Linked DNA regions of Rattus norvegicus. The protein of the gene in region 3 purifies or fractionates together with the protein of the main gene of each other region. This does not show direct contact. Links are inferred from orthologs where the notes say so. Each region holds a gene or a part of one and is shown on either strand. Other genes may lie near its edges. The genes, in order: Cpsf3, Dnaaf2 and Ube3d.

Region 1 (3,633 bases), on a different chromosome or scaffold from region 3:
CTGGCTGTCGTTTAGCTCTCTGTAGGTCAGGCTGGCCCCAGATCCACAGAGCTCTGCCCGCCAGACAACTTTATTCTCTGTGTGTCCCCCAAGTGCTGGGATTACATCCCTATTGTTTCTTATTCTCTTAGTCTGTGGCTAGTCCAGTGGGTAAGGGTCTGTCTCAGCCCCACTCCTCCTAGATCACAAGGTCTTTGAGGTCTGGTCAACATCCTAGGCTGTTAGTACCATGTTTGAGAGTTCATTGTGAGCGAGATTTTGGGGAAAATATCCAAGAAGCTGTTATTTTTTAGCTTAAGATGTGCCTGAAGGGTTAGGGCTAAAACCATGGTGACCAGGCTACATGGTAAGGTGATCTCAGGGTGAAACACTGACATGGCTTTGTTCTGGAAGTGTCACTTGATTGCTTGTTCACGTCTTAAACATCCCACGTCACCTGAAGATCGCTTTTCTCCTTTTTCTACCCCACACTCATCCTCTGTTTGAACCTGTAGAACTGTCCTGTCTTGGGAATTAAGTGACTGCTGTTGTAACTCGGGCAGTTCGTTGTGAAAGAGTTTGAATTTAGTGTGTTGGATGTTACTGGGGTGGAGTGAGACGGGCTGTACTGAACACTGACTTATTTGCCATAGCCCCTAGAGCTGCCATTGTCATTGTGAGCCTCTAAACCAAGCTCTGGGCTGTGTGATTGCTTTTTACTCACTTTAGTTCTCCCCTTGACTATTTGCAGTGGTGCTGGCCAAGAAGTGGGAAGATCATGTATTATTCTGGAGTTCAAAGGAAGGAAAATCATGGTAATTATTATTGCTGTTATTGCTACTGGAAATTGAACTTTGGGCCATGTGCATGCCAAGCGTGTGTTCTAAGCTGAATCACACTCCTAGCCTAGGTAATGATTATTTATACAGTCAAGAAAACAGTGTAGCTCTATCCATACTAACCGTTAGGTCTGTCCTACTGAGCCAGTTATCTCTAGCCCTATCTGAGAGAGATGTATAGAGCGGACACTGTGCGCTGAGAGACTAACACACTTCACTTAGTAATTAAAAGCATCAGGTAACCTAAAAAGATAAAACACTGTAAAACTGCCAGCTGGATCTGCCAGACTGTTGTCTCCTCAAAGTCCTTGTCCATTCCCTTGTCTAGATAACCTGAGGACCCCACTCCTTTGGAAGACCTCAAGGAATTAAGTGCCTTGAATGGGTGTCAACTTGGGCCACGCCACAAGGGGCACCAGTCTGGCTGGCTCTGTCAGGTCCTGAGAGGCTATAGGATCAGGAGCGCTGGTTTCAAAGGTCCCAGGAGAAAGGAGGAACACTGACTCTAGTTCCTTGATTCTCATTTCTTCTTTAGTTCTCTTAGTCTTTCTTTTTTATTTAAGAATTTTTTAAAGATTTATTTATTTATTTTATGTATGTGAATACACTGTAGCTGTATTAAGACACACCAGAAAAGGGCATCGGATCCTATTACAGATGGTTGTGAGCCACCATGTGGAATTGAACTCAGAACCTCTGGAAAAGCCACTGAGCCATCTCTCCAGCCCCTAATTCTCTTAGTCCTAAAAGAACAGGCATGTGTTTACCAGAGTCAACTATTTAAAAAATTATTCTATGTGTTATTTGGTCTGTATATCTGTGCACTGTGTTTGTGCCTGGTGCCTGTGGAGGTCAGGAGATGATATAGACTCCCCTAGAAATACAGTTATAGTTGTGAGCTACCATGTTAGTGGTGGGTGTTGAACCTCCCTCTGGAAGAGTAGACAGTGCTCTTAACCGCTGAGCCATTTCTCCAGCTCCCACCAGTCATTCAGGCATTTTTTAAAAAGGTCTGTTTTATGTATATGAATGTTGTGGCTGTATGTACACCTACACACCAGAAGAGGGCATCAGATCCCATTACAGATGGTTGTGAGCCACCATGTGGTTGCTGGGATTTGAACTCAGGACCTCTGGGAGAGCAGTCGGTGCTCTAACCGCTGAGCCACCTCTCCAGCCTGTAAATGACATTTAAGCATTTGTTAGTGTGGAAGTGACACCTCGTAGGATAAGCTCCCAGCCATCAGCCTGTAGGAAGGTGTGATGGTGCTCTCCCTGGTGGGAGAATTGCTCCAAACCTGCAAACTTGTGTCTGCCGGCTTCTGATAGAAGAGCACTTGAGGAAGAACCCCAGCAAGTCAGTGCTGTCAAACGTGAGCAGTGCCCAAAGAGACGAGCTGCTTCGGGCACATCCTGTTCTTTCCTGAGACTGTTCTGAGTGCACATGTCCTGGGCTCCTCTGAGCGCGGTCCTAGTGTCGGTCTGCTGGATGAGGTTTATCAGATATGTAGCAGGTTGTCATCTGTTTTGTCTGTGTTTTTCCCCCTCCAGCTAGACTGTGGGATCCACCCTGGCCTGGAAGGAATGGATGCTCTTCCTTACATTGACCTCATCGACCCAGCTGAGATCGACCTTCTGTTGATCAGTCAGTAAGTTTCCCTTACTGACCTACTGACCTTTGCTGTGATGATCCGCCTTTCTAGGCTTTGGTGTGGGTTTTTGTTTACATTCTGTGTGTGTGTGTGTGTGTGTGTGTGTCCCATCCGTCCAGCTGTATGTATAGTATGAACATGCACATGCCACAGTGATGTTCATGAGAATCAGAGGTCAGCCTTCCTAGTTGGCCATCCCTTTATCCTCGAGCCATCTTGCTGGTCAGATTTGTTACCTGCTTTTTCTTAATAAACTGGGACTGGTATTGCATGCCTTTAGTCCCAGCACTGAGAGGCAAAGACAGGCAGATCTTTGGGAGTTGAGTTTAAGGCCTGGTCTATTCAGTGAGCTCCAGGTCAATCAGAGCCACATAGTGAGACTGTCTCAAAATTAAAATAAAACGAAAATTTGATAAGAATGAAAGCAAATTTCTAAGTGTAAACCAGCGCCGCTCTGTCTTGAGGCTCAAACCAGGAAGCATCTGTGTGTGACAGTGAGTGCTGGGGGTGTCATGTCCGCTGTGGGCCATCCTCAGGTGTCTCCTCTCACAGGAGCTCCTTGCCACCTTGTCACACTCCTCAGTAAGAGCTTCAGGAGACTGTGGTGCTGCACACCTGCAGTCCTAACACTGAGAAGGCTGAGGCAGGAGGATTGCTGGGTCTGTAGCAAGTGCAGATGGCACAATAAGACTATCTTGAAAAACTTCATTTAAAGATGGCGAAGCTGGACAGTGGCAGTGCACACCTTTAATCCCAGCAGAGGCAGCCCATCTCTGAGTTCGAGGATAGCCAGGGCTGCTCAGAGAAACCCTGCCTCAAAAAACCAAAAAGAGAAAAAAAAACCACGGTGACAAGTTTCAATTGTTACAATTCTGGCTGTCAAGTGTAGATTTGGTTCATGTTCTTTCCCTTCTAATCAGTCACTGATAGAGTGGAGAGGCATTGAGAAGAACAGAGGATGAGGTACTAGCGGCCAGGCCTGACAGGAGTTTGACCCCCAGACTCCATGCTAGAAGAAGAGAGCGGCCATGCCTCCTCGGTCTCCTCACAGCATCCCAGTGTACTTAGCACAGTTTTGTCGGGTGAGCAGGAATTGGAGCAGTGCTGGCCTCTGGTAGCTAAAGCCCTGACGGCCCTGTTTCCTTGTCAGCTTCCATTTGGAC
Region 2 (4,232 bases), on a different chromosome or scaffold from region 3:
GACGCACTGGTGACGCCCGTGTACAGGGAAGCTGTGACAGATGAAGGGCAAGGACAGAAAATTACGAGAATTCAGTACTGAAAATGAGAGAGGAAACCAAGGCAAGGAGTCCATTTCCAGCCCTTTCAAGCTCCATTACTCAAATGGAGACATCCGATGGACAGTTGGACGAGTCTAGAGTTTAGAATGTGAAACAGAAGTTGGTTATTTGAGTTTCATTTACTTGTTTTGGTTTTCCAAGGCAGGGTTTCTTTGTGTAGCCTCGATTTTTCTGGAACTTGCTTCCAGGCTGGCCAGGAACTCAGATCCTCCTGCCTGTGCCTCTGAGTGCTGGGTTAACGGTGTGAGTCACTGCTCTGGCCAAGTATATATATTTAATTTGTGAAAGAGATGGCCTGTCGGAGATGAGATGCCATCCAAGTCTTGGGACACTCTACTTAAAATCGAACAGAGGAAGGCCTGCAGCTTGGGGGAGAGAATGCTTGTCTTGTACGTGTCAAGCCCTGGGTTTGGTTCTGTGACATTCCCTTCCACAAAAAAGGATGAGTTAAGAGAGAAGCCAGGAAAAGCTCTTGTTATTGAAGTAATGCCAGTGTAAACTGCTAAATGCTGCACAGACAAAACCGGTGTGGGACTGACCAGCTATCAGTACATAACCATACTCTGGGATAGCTCAGGGTAGAGCTCATGCCACAGGTGGGACGTCCTGGGTCCCACACCTAGCCCTATAACAAAACAAAGTTTCTATAGTCTGGCGCTAAAACTCCATTATCTAACTACAGTGTCTGCTGCATTAGTTCCTTGTGGAGCACTGTTAGAGACGACAGAATCAATCTAAGGATATGTGGTTTAAAAAAAATAAGTGAAGTTATAATTCTATTCTCAACCCAGGGAAATTGATCAGGACAAAGTCTATAATTTTGCTAAGTGATTTATGAGATCTGACATTTACATTACAAAAAGTGAACACCTTTCCAGTGCTTACTGGGCTCTGGGATCTGCTTGGGGAGTCATTTTTTTGCCCCCAAGGGTTTCTGAGGGACAACTATGAGGTGAAATACCTGAAAATGGAAAGGGCTTAAACATTGGTTCTGCAAAGTGCAAAGAGTCAGATAAAGTTAGGTTTGAGAATTGTAGCCTTGGCTAGAAAACTTCTCACTTGTCTGTGAAATTAAACAGTTAATAAGACACAGCCACAGCGCTGAAAACGAGGACAATTACCATGACAGACTGCAAAACACACGTATCCTGACGCAGTAGTTTAAAGCACGGAACAGGGGAGCCTATTTCTAGCAATTTCCACTAGATCACTGCCCCTCCTCCTGGGTGTTACCATGGCAACAAAGCACGCGCTGCCCTGATAATTCAGCCGTTACCTTTCTGAGCTGGTCAGTTCCTCATGAACCTGACTCTGAAGCGCATCCTAGACACTCGGTTCACGTTGATTCTTCACTGGGTCTGGGTGAGGGGCCGCGTGGGTCACCATGGCCAAGACGGCAGCCTCTTCAGCGCTGGAAGACTTGGATCTGAGCGGAGAGGAGGTGCAACGGCTTACCTCCGCTTTTCAGGACCCAGAGTTCCGCCGAATGTTCTCCGACTACGCCGCGGAGATCACGGACCCTGAGAACCGGAGGCGCTACGAGGAGGAGATCACAGCACTGGAGAGGGAGCGTGGGGTGGAGGTGCGGTTCGTGCACCCTGAGCCGGGCCACGTGCTGCGTACCAGCTTAGACGGGGAGCATCGCTGCTTCGTCAACGTGTGCAGCAACTCACTGGTAGGCGCGCCCAGCAGCCGGCCAGGCCCCGGGCGTGGCGGCACGGCGGCCGGCAGCCACTGGTCCCTGCCCTATAGCCTGGCCCCGGGCCGCCAGTATGCGGGCCGCAACGGTAATCGCTACACCGTCTACGACGTGGTCTTCCACCCGGAAGCGCTTGCGCTGGCCAGGAGCCACGAGCGCTTCCGCGAAATGCTGGACGCCACGGCCCTGGAGGCGGTGGAGCAGCAGTTCGGCGTCAGGCTGGACCGCAGGAACGCCAAGACCCTGAAGATCAAGTACAAGGGGACGCCGGAGGCCGCAGTGCTCCGCACGCCCCTTCCCGAGGGCGTCCGGGCTCAGCCCGAGGGGGAGCTGCCAGGGCTTCTCCCGTACCCACCATACCCGTACCATTACCCCGCGGCTGCGGAGAGCACCGCCCGCTCGCCCGCGTCCCCGGCTCCCAAGGCTGTGCAGCGCCCGGAGCCCACCGAACCGCGCTGCTCCGTGGTGCAGCGCCACCACGTGGACCTCCAGGATTACCGTTGCTCGCGCGACGCGGCCCCAAGCACCGTGCCGCACGAGTTGGTGGTCACCATCGAGCTGCCGCTGCTGCGCTCGGCCGAGCGGGCGGAGCTGGAGGTGAAGGGGAAGCTGCTGTGCCTAGATTCCAGAAACCCCGACTACCGACTGCGGCTCTCGCTGCCGTACCCGGTGGACGACGGCCGCGGCAGGGCACAGTACAATAAGGCGCGGCGGCAGCTGGTAGTCACGCTGCCGGTGGCGCTGGCGGTCGCGCGCCAGGACTTCTCGACGACACCGGAAGGGCCTACGGCCGAGACCGGAACTGACAATATAGCCTGCACTTCCGCGGGCGATCTTGCCGGGGCTCGGGAAGAGTCTGCAGATAGTTCTGGAGCTGACCACGGGAGAAAGAGCTGTGTGGTAGCCCCAGATGCCGGGACTGCAAAAGCTGAAGGGGAGCTCGTTCCCGAGCCGGAGCAGGACTTCGGAGGGGACTCAGTGACACCACTAGGCCCCGGGGAAGGGACAACTCCTGAGAACCGAAGCCTCCTTTATTCTGCTTTCCAGAGCGGCGACGCTGAATCCCTTGCGGAAAGATCGGGAGTGTACGGAGACCTCAGTGTCCAGACTAGTGAGGAACAGGAGGGGACCTGCCACGACACCTCGGGCTCAGACATGGGTGGCCCGGGAACGGAGAGCATCAAACCCTTGTGCCCTCCTTTACAGTGTAATCAGGATGAAGACTCCTTGACTTTGCTCATCCAAGTGCCTGGGATTCAGCCGCAAAGTCTTCACGGGGATCTGAGTCCCTTCAGTTACGAACTGTGCTTCTCCACACAAGACTCAGGTTACTCCTTCACTTTGCAGTTTGCTCCGGAAAATAAGTTGAGTACCAAAGAACCTGCGATTAGCATTTCTTTAAACAATGCTGTCATAGTACTGGCAAAATCTCCAGAGAGCCACGGACTTTGGCGAGAGTGGTATTGGGGCTTGAACAAGGATTCTTTGGAGGTAACCGTTCTCACTATTTGAAATACTCTTATCTTACTATAAACATTTTTGTTACATGGACATAAATATTTTCTATTCGTTCATATAATAGTGCAGGTTAAGCTCATTCGCAAAGCGAAGATTGCACATGTTCTAAAGATGCACTTCAAGTCTTCAGGGTTGTTTTGGGGTCCACCGACTGACTAGAGAAAACTGGATTTTAGTGACTCCTAGACTTCTGGAAACTTATGCAAGAAAATTGAGGGTTCTATCTCTTTTGAGAAAAAGGTTATATCGTTAGTCGTTCTCAAAAGGACTTGTGGTAAAAATTCCCTCCAAAGTGCTCCTATTTTAACTTGGGAAGTCACTTGCTTCCAAGCTTAGAATTTGTGCAAGTAATGATAGATTTCTTCCAGAGAGGAAGTAATTTACGTTCTATGCTGGGGTTGGAGATTGAGCTCAGTGGTAGAGCACCCTTGCTCTAGGCCTTAGTGTCCTTTCCTACATCCCATTTGGCCATTTGAGGCTACTTAACTCAATGAGGGCTTAAATTCAGTAAGGTCGCCCTCTGGTGGGTGCTGTAATTTACAAAGAAAGTTTCCCTCCGTTTGCTTTTAGTTGTCCTTGCCCCTAGTGTTTGACCCAAGGAGCAACTAAATCAGAAACACTTCTGGGCAAACAAACTGACTGGCGAAATGTAGGAGGTTTAGGATATATACGTTTAGTTTTAGGATAAATCTGTTTTGGTTCAGGAGCCTGAGGAAGAAGGATTAGGAGTTCGAGGCCAGTCTGTGTTTTGTAGTGAGACACGGTTCTAAAGAAAATAAAAAGAAAATTGGGAGTAGTGAGACATGTATAATCATTTTATTACTATTAGTGTTTTTATCATAGAGAGACTTGTGGCTTTCAAGGCCAGAATTGTCACTTTACACATAAAAAGTACAAAATACATATTTACACCCT
Region 3 (4,211 bases):
CCAAATTGTTAGAATGAAACAGGAATTTATGCAGCAACGTGATAAACTTTAAAAAAAAAAAACTTCAAAGGCTAATATTAGAAAAACAGATAAGTTTCAATATACTTAAGACTGTTTTTGTTTTGAGCCAGGGTCTTGCCACATAGCCTGAAATGGCACTTAATATAAAGCCAAAACTGACCTTGAACTTACAGCAATCCTGCCTCAGCCTCCTAAATGCTGGAATTACAGATATACACCATCATCCTTGGCTTAAACCTATTTAGAAATGCTTCCAGTTTATTTGGTGTAATTATGACTATGAAATGGAACATCGATAAACAGGGTTTCTGTCTTGGCTAGTTTTATGTTAACCTGACACAAGATAGAGTCTTCTGAAAGGGGGGAACCTCCATTGAGAAAATGCTTCCATAAGATCCAACTGTAACTCGTTTTCTTAAATAGTGATTGATCCGGGAGTGGTTAATGGGTGGTGCTTTCGCTGGGTTGGTGATCCTAGGTTCTATAAGAAAGCAGGCTCAGTAAACAGCACCCTTCCATAGCTTCTGTATCAGCTCCTACCTCCAGGTTTCTGCCCTGTTTTGCTTCCTGTTCCGACATCCTTCAATGATATACAGTCATGTGGAAGTGTAAGCTGAATAAACCCTTTCCTCCCCAAGTTTCTTTGGTAACGTTGCTTCACCACAGCAAAAGAAATCTTAGAACTAAGACAATTTCCCTTATACAATCTATCATTTTAAATGACAGCTTTTCATTTTAAAAGATGTCCTACTGAAATTCTATGACCTGATATATTTGTTTAGACCGCACCAGCTCTTTCACCTTATCAAACTTTCAAAACGTATCTTGTAGGAGCAAATAAGTTATGACTTCTTTCACTTCTGCAGTATAGTGGGGATGTATAAAAAAAGAAATTACTTTTTTTTTCTTTTTGCTTATTAAAAGTGAATATGAATGATTAGTCAAGATATTAAGAGTCCACCACTCTCTTTTTATGGCTTCTAGAGACCTCATACATGTTTTTGCAACAGTTGCAGTCTTAGAACTACCATATCTAAAGCGAAATGTAGTGGCCAATCTTTGACATTTCTGACACATTAGACAGAAGCTAATAAAAGTACCATCTGTACAGCCTCTGCTCCGTTATCTACCTCACCCTACCCAAGCAAACCAGAGGAGAGTTTCCTTCTGCCCCAAATCTGAGCTTTCTGCTCATTTTAGGGAGAATAATGCTCATAGTCAAGTCCCTCCATCATCTTCTAGTGGAGGCCAGCTCTGCTCTCTGGGTCCCACCTGTCCTACTAGAGCGCGACTGGGGGGGCGGGGGGGGGCGGGGAGATCGGTGCCTTGGCAGTGCGTACTCTGCCCAAAAGGTGGCGCTCCAGCCGACAGACCGCCACTGCCCGATCCCGCCTGGCCGCCGCGCTGCCTCCGCCAGGAAGCCAGCGGCTTGCCACGGCCGCACGTGCTCCCACCCAGTCCCAGTTCTGGTAACTGCGGGCTCGGTCCCGCGTGGGCCCCTGAGTCGGCCATGGCGGTGGTTGAGGCGGAAACACGCGTGTTCCTGGAAGTGCGGAGACGGCTCCAGAGCGCGCTGCTAATCCTGGGGTAAGGGAGGAGGCACCGGTGCGCGGGACCGCGTGCGTGGGCCGTGAGCGAGACGAGGAGACTGGTGCTCGTGTGCGTGGCACAGGAGCGCGGATGCGCGGGACCGAAGGAGGAGCGAACCGGACAGTAGGCGCGTGCACGGGACGGTGTACGCGTGCGCAGGACGAGATGGTTTGCCTACCAAGCACTTTAGCCACTGAACCATCTCCCCAGCCTGACTGCGGGCTTTTAATTTCATATTTACTACAGAAACAAGAAACTTTTGGGGAACAAAATGCTCCTTTTTGGCTTATGGTCAGCAATTTTAATGATCTGCGATCTCTTCACGGGTTTTGCCGATTTCTTTGTGACAAATGCATCAAATAGAGTTAGATGTGGAAATTTATTACAGAACAGCACAGTTGTATCTTTTTTTTTTTTCTTAGCTTCTCCTCTTTTCCTAAAACCTGACAAACAGCTAACGTGGCAGTTTTGCATATGACCTGAGAACTGGGCTCAGATCCTAGGTTTCTCACGTGGGCAGAATACTTTTATCTGAATTTCTTCAGTTTTAAGATTTGGATTGAGTGTAGGCTCGGTGCAATTCATTTGTGTAGCTTATACAGATCTTGAGTTTCTCCAGTATGGGGAGGAAGGGTGGGGAGGCGTGAAGTCATAAGTTCGAACAAGTATCTGCAATTTCTGTCCAATTTTTTAGGTAAGTAAGGGTACTAACATCAAATACAGCGGCTTAATCCCTCATACAAAACCCATTCTGTAAATGAGTTGAGAAACCTACTTTGCTAGTCTGCTTGTTTGTCTCTCTCTGGTCTTTTGACTCGACTTCTAACACAAGTCAGCTCCCTTCCCCTAGTAACAACCATGGTCTGGTGTCATTCAACCAGTCTACACAGTTTCACTGTTGAACTGTGCTGACGTGTATTAGTCAGGGTTCTCTAGAGTAACAGCATTTATTGAATGAGTCTCCCTATAAATAGGAAGGGGATTTAGAGAAGGACTTACAGCCTGCAGTCCAGCTAATCCAACAGGCTATGAATGAATGGTGAGTCCAAAGATCCAGTAATTGCTCACTCCGTGAGACCCGACTGTCTTCAGGGTCTCATGTCTTCATGCCTCAGCTGGTCTTCGGTGTACTTCAGAATGCCAGCGAGAGCGAGGGCAAGCAGGCAGAGAGCAGACAGACTGCCTCTTCCATGTCCTCTTCCAGCAGAAGTTGTGGCTTATATCTGAGGTGGCTCTTCCCAGCTCAAGAGATCTGGATAAAGGGGTGTCTTCCTACCTCAGAGGGAGGAAGTGAATCTTCCTACTTCGAATTAAGCAGAAATCCCTCACAGTGTGCCCTGCATTTTGGAGTTTTAATTAATTCCTGATGTAGTCAAGCTGACCTAGCCAACTGGATACATCGGTTGTTGTTTTAAACTGCCTTTTCCAATATGCTTTTTGTTGTTGCTTGTTTTTTTTAAGACAGGGTCTAACAATGCATCATGGCTGCCATAAGTGAAGATGTAAACCAGGCTGACCTTGAAGTCATAGAGATCTGCCTGCCTGTGCTTTCACATCACTGGGACCCTCCAACCAGGCTTTGACATTTTTGTTTCATCTCTGTTGTAGCTTAAATGAGTATTCCTTTTCCGTTTCTTACTGAGTAGTTTTCCATTGCCTGAGTATCTCACAAACAATTTTCTTACTTTTCTATTGCTGGATTTTTTTTTCTTTTTTTTTTTTAATTGGATTTTTTTCTTTTTTTTTTTAAATTTACATTTCAAATGTTATTCCCTTTCCCAGTTTCCTTGACATAAGTCCCCTATCCCATCCCCTTCCCCTTCTATAAAGGTGTTCCCCTCCCCATCCACCTTCGTTCCTGTCCTCCCACCCCCCAATTACCTCTACACTGGGGGTCCATCCTTGGCAGGACCAAGGGCTTCTCTTTCCATTGGTGCCCAACAAGACCATCCTCTGCTACATAGGCAGTTGGAGCCATGGGTTAGTCCATGTATAGTCTTTGGGAAGCAGTTTAGTCTGTGGGAGCTCTGGTTGGTTGGCATTGTTGTTCTTATGGGGTTGCAAGCCCCTTCAGGTCTTTCAATCCTTTCTCTAATTCCTCCAATGGGGATCATGTTCTCAGTTCAGTGATTTGCTGCTAGCATTTGCCTCTGTATTTGACATGGTTCTGGTTGTATCTCTCAGGAAAGATCTATATCCAATTCCTGTCAGCATGCACTTCTTAGCTTCATCAGTCTTGGTGGCTGTATATATATGGGCCGCATGTAGGGCAGGCTCTGAATGGCTGTTCCTTCAGTCTCTGCTCCAACCTTTGCCTCGGTATCCCCTCCTATGAATATTTTTGTTCCCCCTTTTAAGGAGGAGTGAAGCATCTGCCTTTTGGTCGTCCTTCTTCTTGAGCTTCATGTGATCTGTGGATTGTATCTATGGTAATTTGAGCTTTTGGGCTAATATCCACTTATCAGTGAGTATATACCATGTGTGTTTTTCTGAGTGTTTTACCTCACTCAGGATGATATTTTCTAGTTCAATTCATTTGCCTATGAATTTCATGAAATCATTGTTTTTGATAGCTGAGTAGTACTCCATTGTGTAGATGT

Evidence for each region.
Region 1: the proteins of Ube3d (region 3) and Cpsf3 purify together in Homo sapiens (affinity purification with mass spectrometry; 4 studies listed by BioGRID and IntAct, counting the BioPlex papers as one, with this or other methods). This does not show direct contact. The link is inferred for Rattus norvegicus from reciprocal best matches to the Homo sapiens genes UBE3D and CPSF3.
Region 2: the proteins of Ube3d (region 3) and Dnaaf2 purify together in Homo sapiens (affinity purification with mass spectrometry; 4 studies listed by BioGRID and IntAct, counting the BioPlex papers as one, with this or other methods). This does not show direct contact. The link is inferred for Rattus norvegicus from reciprocal best matches to the Homo sapiens genes UBE3D and DNAAF2.

The regions. Positions count from the first base shown.
Region 1 is NC_086024.1:46,568,178-46,571,810, forward strand, and holds part of Cpsf3 (cleavage and polyadenylation specificity factor subunit 3), read left to right. Parts: intron 1-730; coding exon of another isoform or gene 731-791; coding exon 792-794; intron 795-2,369; coding exon 2,370-2,467; intron 2,468-3,620; coding exon 3,621-3,633. UniProt on the Homo sapiens protein: Component of the cleavage and polyadenylation specificity factor (CPSF) complex that plays a key role in pre-mRNA 3'-end formation, recognizing the AAUAAA signal sequence and interacting with poly(A) polymerase and other factors to bring about cleavage and poly(A) addition.
Region 2 is NC_086024.1:93,403,508-93,407,739, reverse strand, and holds the start of Dnaaf2 (protein kintoun), read left to right. Parts: upstream 1-1,416; 5' UTR 1,417-1,484; coding exon 1,485-3,290; intron 3,291-4,232. UniProt on the Homo sapiens protein: Required for cytoplasmic pre-assembly of axonemal dyneins, thereby playing a central role in motility in cilia and flagella.
Region 3 is NC_086026.1:96,290,278-96,294,488, reverse strand, and holds the start of Ube3d (E3 ubiquitin-protein ligase E3D), read left to right. Parts: upstream 1-1,410; 5' UTR 1,411-1,531; coding exon 1,532-1,608; intron 1,609-4,211. UniProt on the Homo sapiens protein: E3 ubiquitin-protein ligase which accepts ubiquitin from specific E2 ubiquitin-conjugating enzymes, and transfers it to substrates, generally promoting their degradation by the proteasome.